Macaca mulatta: one gene and its partner. The main gene of each other region encodes a partner of the protein of the gene in region 2 in a complex. Links are inferred from orthologs where the notes say so. Each region holds a gene or a part of one and is shown on either strand. Other genes may lie near its edges. The genes, in order: CST3 and CTSK.

Region 1 (4,446 bases), on a different chromosome or scaffold from region 2:
TGCATGAATCCACATACTCCCTCACACCTCTACCCACATGCACACACACAGTGCAGGCACTTCCTCATACAGCATGTATGTGCACAGAACCCCCACACATATGTGCACACGCATGCGCACTCACACACCCACACACATCCGTGCATAGACCCCCACACCTCCCCAAAACATCACACACCCACTAGCACACACTCATATAACCTCCCCACACAAACCTATACATGGAAACACATGTGCATCTCCATATGTACACACACTCAGGCACACGCACACATACCCTCCAGAACATGTACATCACACACACACACACACACACACACACACCCCTCTGCAGTGTATGACTGGCCCTGGACCCACATGAGGCACATACCCTCTTCAGATGTGGCTGTTCATGGAAGGGGCAGTTGTCCAAGTTGGGCTGGGTCTTGGTACATGTGGTTCGGCCCAACTCCACGTCCAAGAAGTAGTTCACCCCAGCTACGATCTACACATGTGAAAGAGCAGGAGGCAGGGACAGCACGCTCTGTCAGTTTCTTACACACACAGGCACTTCACTGTGACTGGGTCACTGGGCTTGCCTGGGGCTTCAAGCCTACCTTCACGAGCTACCCACATTGTCACTTGCAAGGCACACAAGCCACCTCCTCCTGCCAGCTGGCAGGGATGCCATGCCCCAGGCCTCCCTGGTAACTTGTTTTCTCTATGCCAATGCCAAGGATTAACTGAATTCTGCTACCTATGACCCAGGGGGCAGGGACACTGGATCTATTCTAGGAAGGCTCTCATGTGATGATGAAATTTCGGCAAACTTCCAGTTCCTGGCATTCAGTCCACAGAGCATCTCATTCCTCTCATTTAACCCAGAGGTATTTTTCCTCATTTATCAATAGGAGATGAGATGCTCACATACATTGATGTTTTAGGCCAATAAACTGCTTCCCACATGCCTCCATTCCAGGTGTGATTTTGGAGGCAGTATTTCCAAAGTGAGTCTTACGGTTGCAACTTCAGAAGAGAACTGAATGCTTTCCCTGCACAGTGCCACCCCCAGACATGACTTGTGAGAACTGTGGAGAAGCATGGGATGAGGGACCCTGAGACCAGGGTGCTAGACCTTGCCCTGTGGAGCCACACACAAGTCCTGTAGAACCACATGCAAGTCCTGTGATCCCTCCGGTGTCAGTCTGCTGCTCTGTAAAATAGGTTCCAGGGTCCTACAATGCCCCGTGCTTCACTCCCAGTGAGAGAGGGGTGCAGGCCAGCGGGGACCCTACACCAGGGAACAGGGAGAGGACCCCAGCTGACGGCTGCAGGAGGAGAAACGGGGCTGGTCTAGACTCCTCTGAATTTCCAACAGAAGGTGGAGGAGCTCTAAAGTCTGTGTCACTGTTTGTTGCTCTGCCATGGGATGCAGGTCAAGCTGGACCTGGTAGCCCTACTGAAGCTCCCCCCCGGATCTGACCCCCTACTCCGCTCTGCTGGGTGACTGCTGTCCTCATCTGGCTGAGGTCTAACTCTGCATCAGCTGGTAGAAGCAGGGTCAGGCATGCTCCACCCCAGCAGGAATTCAGCTGCCCTGGGCTGTAGGGGGTGGTCATTCGGCCTGAGGGTGAAGGCCCCTAGTCCTAGAGGGCTGTGCCCAGGGGTGTGACTTGGGAAGGGAAGCAGGGCTCTGCAGGACAAGGAGCCAGGCTCAGGTGTGGCCCCTATGGAGAGGACTCCCGGAGGAAGACGAGCCTCATGGTCTGGATCTCATCCTGACCAGCACCAAGCCCACCCAGAGTCAGCACAGTCTCCACCCACACCTGCTGGATCCTGGGAAATGGCACGGTCTTGGTACAGACCCAGCGGCTGCTGCAGGTGAAAAGAGGCAGAGGGGACAGGACAGGGCTGAACTCATGTACTCCTGGCCCGGGAGCGTCCTAAGGCATGAAGCCCGTCAGCAGTCAGGGAAAGCTGAATGAGTCTGAGCATTAGACCATGAATGTGTCAGTGCTGATTTTCAAAATGGAATCGTGGTTATGTGAGATACTGCCCTTGTTTTAAGGAAAAACACACTGAAGTGTTTACTCTCAAAAGATTCAGGCAAAAAAATGCATATACAGTACATATACACACACCCATATTCACATTCGGAAAGTGAGCTGGGGGAACAAACGGCAAAATGTTAACATCCGTGCTAACATCTGAAGGATCTGGGTGAAAGATCTACAGGGATGCCCTGTACTATATCTGCAGCTGCTCTGTAAGTCAGAAATTATGTGAGAATAAAAAGTTAAACTAAAGTGTTTAAAAATTATTTGGCGGAAGAACAAGGAGGCAGCCAGATGACGGGCTCTGTTTTTTCCTTCTCCTGCGTATTCAGCAGCGCACCCGGAGCCCCGCGTCCCAGGAGGCCTGGACAGAGTTGGGTGGGACGTCCTGTGCCTGCCCCCGCGCTGCGGCGCCGCTCGAGCTGGCGCCTGGAAGCAGATCTCAGGCGCCGGGCGCGGACCTGGCTTGTCCTTGCGGTTCCAAGCCAGACCAGACTCGGGGCATTCCCAGACACGCCCGCCAAGGGCTCCAGGGTGACAGCGAAGACCGGGAACAGGGTCTGGGTGAGAAGCCCAGGTGCCGGGGAGAAGGAGCAGCGCGGGGTCCGGGAGCGGCGCGGGGCAGGCTGGGGCGGCGGGGCCAGGGTTCGGGACCCTGCGGGGGGCGGCACGCACCTGCTTGCGGGCGCGCACCACCTGCAGCGCGCGGCTGTGGTACATGTCGTTGCTGGCTTTGTTGTACTCGCTGACGGCAAAGTCCAGGGCACGCCGCACACCCTCCTCCTCCACGCTGGCGTCCATGGGGCCGCCCACTAGGCGCGGCGGCTTCCCGGGACTCGCTCCGGCCGCGGGGCTCACTGCCAGAGCCACGGCCAGGATGGCCAGCAGGAGCAGCGGGGCGCGCAGAGGCCCTGCCATTGTCGGCTAGGACGCGGGACACGGAGAGTGGGGCGCAGGCGAGAGGCTTGAGCTACTGACAGAGGACCCGGTGCGATCCCGAGGCCGTGAACACTGCGGGGCCAGCGGCTGCGCTTTTATCCCTTCTGGCCTTCCCCGCCCCTCGCGCCCTGCGCTTCCTTTTCCGGAACGCCTAGTCCCTCCCGCTTCCCCTCTCCCTTCCCACCTCCCCTACCTCTCCCCGCCTCCCGGTCCCTCCCTACCAATCTCCTCCCCTCCCTGCCTCCCCTGCCATCCTGGCCTCCCTGGCCCTCCCCATGGATCCCCTTCCCTCCCCATCCATCCCCTCTCCTCCCCTCCCAGCCCCTCCCGGCCTCCCCCCTCCCTTCCCGCCTCCCCCTCCCTTTCCCCCTCCCCTCTCCCTCCGCTCCTCCCCTGCCCCCTAGCCTCCCTGTCCCTCCCTATCCATCCCCTCCCCTCCCCTCTCCCTCTTCGCCTGCTCTCTTCCTCCCAGCCTCCCCTGCCCCTCCTATCCTCCCCATTCTTCCCCATCCATCCCAGACCATTCCAGCCTCCCCACTTCAGGCCCCTCCATGCTTCCCCTCTTCAGGCTCCTTCTCCTCTATCCGTTTCCCCTTTCAACCCCCAGACACCGCCTCCCCTGCCCCTCCTCTCCCTCCTCCACTCTTGTCCTTGCTCCCACTTCGCCCCCAAGCTCTGCCCTTCTTCATCGCCCCTCCCTTGTTCCACCCCTCCTCTGTCTTCCCTTCCTACCCACCCCTGGCCTCTCCCTGTCTCTGTCCCTCCTATCCTCTTCTTTCCCCTTTTCTAACTCCACTCCTGGTCCCTCTTCCCCCACCCCTTCTACACCCACGCCCCCCTCCTACCCACTCCATCCCTTCAGCTCCATCTCATCTCATAGACCTGTCCCTCCTCCCAAGCTTAGGTCACCCTGCCTTCCAGAGAGGTGTCAAGTCCCCCTGAGCCCTAAAAGCATGCGACCCCCTAGCTTCATTTCCTCAGAAAAGGGAAGGATAGAGGTCTTGGCCTTCCGGAGTCGTCGGAGGTCCCGAGTATCCGCGAGCATTTGGTCAAGGTCTAGAAATCACTGAGGCAGAGATGTGATTCCAGAGGCTGCAGAAGACTCAGGCCATGCCCTGTGCTAGGGGACTTTTCAAACAGAAGAATTAACCTTTATTTGAGTAAAAAACTCTGGGTTCTCCTTTCACAATTCCTTATTATTCAACAAACAGACTTGTCACCAGCTTCCCCCTGCACCAGGTGGTGTAGGAACTAGAGACGGAGCCTGGGTGACCGAGCCGTGGACACAACATTGCAGGGCTGCTGCCAGACAGAGATGTGACGCAAACCTGGGAGCAATTTAAAACTTTCTAGGAGACACATTTCAAAAAGTAAAAAAGAAACAGGTGAAGGTAATGTTTATAATATTTCTTACTTAACCCAATATATCCAAAATATTATTTCAACACATAAGAAGAATCATTAATAACATAGG
Region 2 (4,231 bases):
TCTGTCTCAAAAAAAAAATAACAATAATAATAATTTTTTGCGGGGAGAAAGGACTGTGACCCAGCAATTCCAATTTTAGGACTTGTTTTGCATAAATATTTGTACATGTGCACAAAAATATATGCACAAGGGTGCTTATTGCAACACTATTTGTAATAAAGAAAAACCAGGCCGCGGTGGCTCACGACTGTAATCCCAGCACTTTGGGAGGCCAAGGCAGGTGGATCACCTGAGGTCAGGAGTTCAAGACCAGCCTGGCCAACAAGGTGAAATCCCATCTCTATAAAAATAGAAAAATTAGCCAGGCGTAGTGGTGCGTGCTGTAACCTCAGCTACTCAGGAGGCTGAGGCAGGAGAATCGCTTGAAACCGGGAGGTGTAGGTTGCAGTGAGCCAAGATTGCACCACTGCACTCCACCCTGGGCGACAGAGTGACACTCTATCTCAAAAAAAAAAAAAAGGAAAGGAAAAAGAAAAACCAGAAACAACCCAAATGTACAGAAACAAATGAGGTTAAATAACAGAATGGGGAGATGTACCTTAATCCCTTGCCCTCTCTTCCTGGTGCCCTTTCACCTCAAGAACAAAGCAGCAGAAAAAGGAAAAGGTCATGCCAGATTACATATGCACACCCAGAAGAAAGGAGAGTACCTGATTTTTGACAGGAGTAACATATCCTTTCTTTCGATAGTCGACAGAGTCTGGGGCTCTACCTTCCCAGTCTGGGATATAAAGGGTGTCATTACTGCGGGAATGAGAGGCGGGTACTTTGAGTCCAGTCATCTTCTGAACCACCTCTTCATTGGTCTGAGACAAAGAAGAAAGAGGCCAGGCATCAGCAGGGAACTAAAGCAAACGGTGCAGGTGGGACAGGAGCTGAGGCTGTACTTACCATGTCCCCCAAGTGGTTCATAGCCAATTCATATGTATGGACACCAAGAGAAGCCTCAAGGTTATGGATGGAAATATACTTCAGGTTTTTTTCCCAAATTAAACGCCGAGAGATTTCATCCACCTAAACAAAGCATAGTCAGTACTTGTATAGACCGTGTACAGTTACATATGTCATATTGTGAAGGGTTTTAGGAGAATAAAGGAAACTCACAATCATAAAACTTTACAGTTTAGTTGGGGAACTAACCATGGAATTATTAAGGCCTGCAAGAAGAGATAATACATAAAGAAATACAACACAAAGCTCTGGAGAGACAGAAAAAATGCTTATAGATGAATAGCATTAATCTTAGAAATCTTCCCAAAAGAGAAATGTAACACACTTATAAAGCAAAGGAAGGATACAATTTGACAGAGGATGATTTGAAGCATAGGAATGAAAACCGTATGTTAACGTGAGTTAGGAAAGAGGGACTGATTTGCTAGGAATAAAGCATTTGGATTGAAGAAGGGAGTCTGCAGCTAAGATGAGAGAGCTCAAGTCTCAGCCCTCCTGCCATGCCCCCTTCAGGACCCCAGGCACCTTGCTGTTGTATTGCTTCCTGTGGGTCTTCTTCCATAACTCCCAGTGGGTGTCCAGTATCTCCTCAGGGTACAGAGCAAAGCTCATCACAGGTAGCAGCAGAACCTTGAGCCCCCACATCCTGCAGAAGAATGTAATTAGGGAAAACTCTTCCATTTGGCAGGGAAACCAAGGAAAACTAGGCTTTATGAGGAAGAGGAAGGTAGACAGAGAAAGGGTGATAAATCAATGATAGTCAGGAGGGACCTGTGTTTTGATAGGGTGCTGGTACATCTGGTTCCAAGTTATGATCTAGGCAGATGTAGCCATTTCTCTCTCTCTCGGGAGATTTAACCAACACACACACACACTCTCTGTCTCTCTCTCTCTCTCTCACACAAACACACACACTTACACAACCAGAAATAGGATAGAAACTGGACAATCAGAATGGGCTCAGTGCCTGTTTCCTCCAGGGTCCTCAGCAGGCTTGGAGACAGATAAAGAGCAAGGTGGTAGTGGGGTTCAGAATACACAAAGGAGAGATTTCCATCTAAGTTTTGCTTCCTGATCATTTCTTCGAGGCATTTTTCTCTTTCTTGCCTAAATTCTGGTACTTTCCCAGATCTTGTCAGAAGAGGACAAGGGAAAATATGACAATGTTTCCTGTTTTCTGAGACATTTTCTATCTCCTCATTCTCCTTATGCATTTCTTCCTCCTTTTGCTCTCCCCTCCCTCCTTAGGCAGGAAACTGCCCTAATCTTAACCAGATGCTGCGGGCAAGGTTTTTTATTTTTCCCCTAACAACAAAAAACCACTGTGGCTGCCGCACAGGACAAGGAGCCTCAGATCCAAGGTTTGTTAGAAGAATGTTCAGACTGAAAAGCAATGTTCTATGATTATTAAATTCACAGCTTTTCATAAGTTTAGCTAGCTTCACTCATTTCTTGCATTGGCTTGCTTAATTACAACTCCTCCATTTTAAGAACAATTTGCAGCTTGCAGCATGTCATATGGCTTACACAATTGCTTATAGTCCATTTACATGTAATTTTTTCAAACTGGCAAAATGTCCAGTAGGACACTTAAAAGTTAGAGTGTTAAGGGCTTTGAGATGTTTCAGCAAACAGGAAGCACTGAGCTACCACCTCCCCATACCACTCTCCTCCTCCTCCTCACTAGGGAGTTAACCCTTTTGATCCTTGTTGGCCAAAGTAGAAAACACTGCAGAAAGGCTACCCTTGAAGGATAGGCAAATGATTCCCTATATACTTTGCTTTTAGTTACAACCATGTATATATATATATAAATCATACAAGGAATTCTACAGACTTCCAGGCAGATTTTATTTAGCCAGGGAATGATCTAAGAAGTGCATCTCAGTTTTCATCTGCAAAGGCTAAAAGTTCATTGTGATTCTCAAGTCACTACATCCCTAATACTCTTAGAGAATTGACAGGAATGAAAAGCTAAAAGATCTAGGAAGTTGCAAATGTTACCTGCTGATGGAACTGTTGTCAGGCTTCGTTTCGGCAGCGAAGTGTGGGCAGACCATCAGGGGTGCCAGATTTATTCCATCAGGATTGCGGAAGTCAGCTCCAGTGGTCGGCTGGAAAATTTGGGTAAGAGGAGGAGGCGGGGATAGAAATGCTGAGAGAAGGAAGGGTAGGGAGGAGGGAAGGAGTCAGTGGATTTGTAGTGTTTGTGTATGTGTGCAGCATGTGTGCCAGGGTAGGGAGTTGCTAGGTATTTAATCTCACAAGACTGTCTTTGGTGGCAAATAACAAGACCTCAGTATCTATTGACTCAAATAGGAGCTTACCTTCTCTTTTGGTGAGTAAAAGGAAGGACACAGCCCTAGTCTCTCCCATCCTTCTTCTTCAGTATCTTTATTATAACACTGGGGGATTACATCTTTTCCTACCCCTTTCCTGTTATGATTTACCTCTCCAACATTGAAACCTATTTTCAAATTTGTGTCTGACCCTCACCTCTGGGATGCGGGAATGAACATAAAAGGCTATAAAAGAATAATGTAATGGAAGCCATACGCTCCAGAATTCTTTGTATTTTTGTAAGCTTGTTGGTTGCAAGTTGTCATTACTTCCAGGAAGGAGAATAGCTTTCCCAGCCTAATGTGGTTTTGCTGAAGGATATACCCAGAAAGTCCAGATGAAACTGTCTTTAAAAGTAACCAAAAACAGCAGTCCTGGTTATCTATGACAGCACTTGAATCAGTGCCATAAGTTCTGATGGACTCCCATGTGACTCTGTTGCTAAAACCCTCAGGTGGTGGGATGCCCGATAAACATCATCTGTCTCAATTAAAATCCCCAATCTAGGACAAGTCACATGAGCTTCTCCAAATGCTTCCCCAACATCCAGGCATGTGACAGATCATAAGAATCTCGCTGAGTCCTCAAACCACACCCCAAACTTCATTTTCTTCCATAAACAGATGTGGGGAAGGAGGAAAAAAGGCTTCTTGGAATAGAAAGGATAATAAATGGGATCTGTAATAGACTCAGTTTCTAGCTGGATTCAATGCATAAACCCTCAAGAGGCTTATGCCTCTGGATTTTAAGAGCTGCTAGTGGGCTAGGTACGGTGGTTCACGCCTGTAATCCCAGGCCTTTGAGAGGCCAAAGCAGGTGGATCACCTGAGGTCAGGAGTTCGAGACTAGCCTGGCCAACATATAGTGAAACCCCATCTCTACTAAAAATAATACAAAAATTAGCTGGGCATGGTGGCACACATCTGCAGTCCCAGCTACT

What was found.
Region 1: the proteins of CTSK (region 2) and CST3 are in contact, whole or in part, in a crystal structure (PDB 8V57), measured with the Mus musculus proteins. The link is inferred for Macaca mulatta from reciprocal best matches to the Homo sapiens genes CTSK and CST3. Residues at the interface, in NP_031828.2 of Mus musculus: Asn132, Gln133, Gly134, Gln135, Cys136, Gly137, Cys139, Trp140, Glu173, Asn174, Tyr175, Cys177, Gly178, Gly179, Gly180, Tyr181, Met182, Ser248, Ala251, Ser252, Gln257, Phe258, Val274, Asn275, His276, Ala277, Ser297, Trp298, Ser301, Trp302; in NP_034106.2 of Mus musculus: Pro27, Arg28, Met29, Leu30, Gly31, Ala32, Pro33, Gln75, Leu76, Val77, Ala78, Val80, Asn81, Tyr122, Pro125, Trp126, Lys127, Thr133.

What each region holds. Positions count from the first base shown.
Region 1 is NC_133415.1:60,396,824-60,401,269, reverse strand, and holds the start of CST3 (cystatin-C precursor), read right to left. Parts: upstream 3,007-4,446; 5' UTR 2,952-3,006; coding exon 2,709-2,951; intron 485-2,708; coding exon 371-484; intron 1-370. UniProt on the Homo sapiens protein: As an inhibitor of cysteine proteinases, this protein is thought to serve an important physiological role as a local regulator of this enzyme activity.
Region 2 is NC_133406.1:116,304,599-116,308,829, reverse strand, and holds the start of CTSK (cathepsin K precursor), read right to left. Parts: upstream 2,968-4,231; 5' UTR 2,956-2,967; intron 2,193-2,955; exon of another isoform or gene 1,919-2,192; intron 1,598-1,918; 5' UTR 1,597-1,597; coding exon 1,477-1,596; intron 1,015-1,476; coding exon 892-1,014; intron 807-891; coding exon 651-806; intron 1-650. UniProt on the Homo sapiens protein: Thiol protease involved in osteoclastic bone resorption and may participate partially in the disorder of bone remodeling. Displays potent endoprotease activity against fibrinogen at acid pH. May play an important role in extracellular matrix degradation.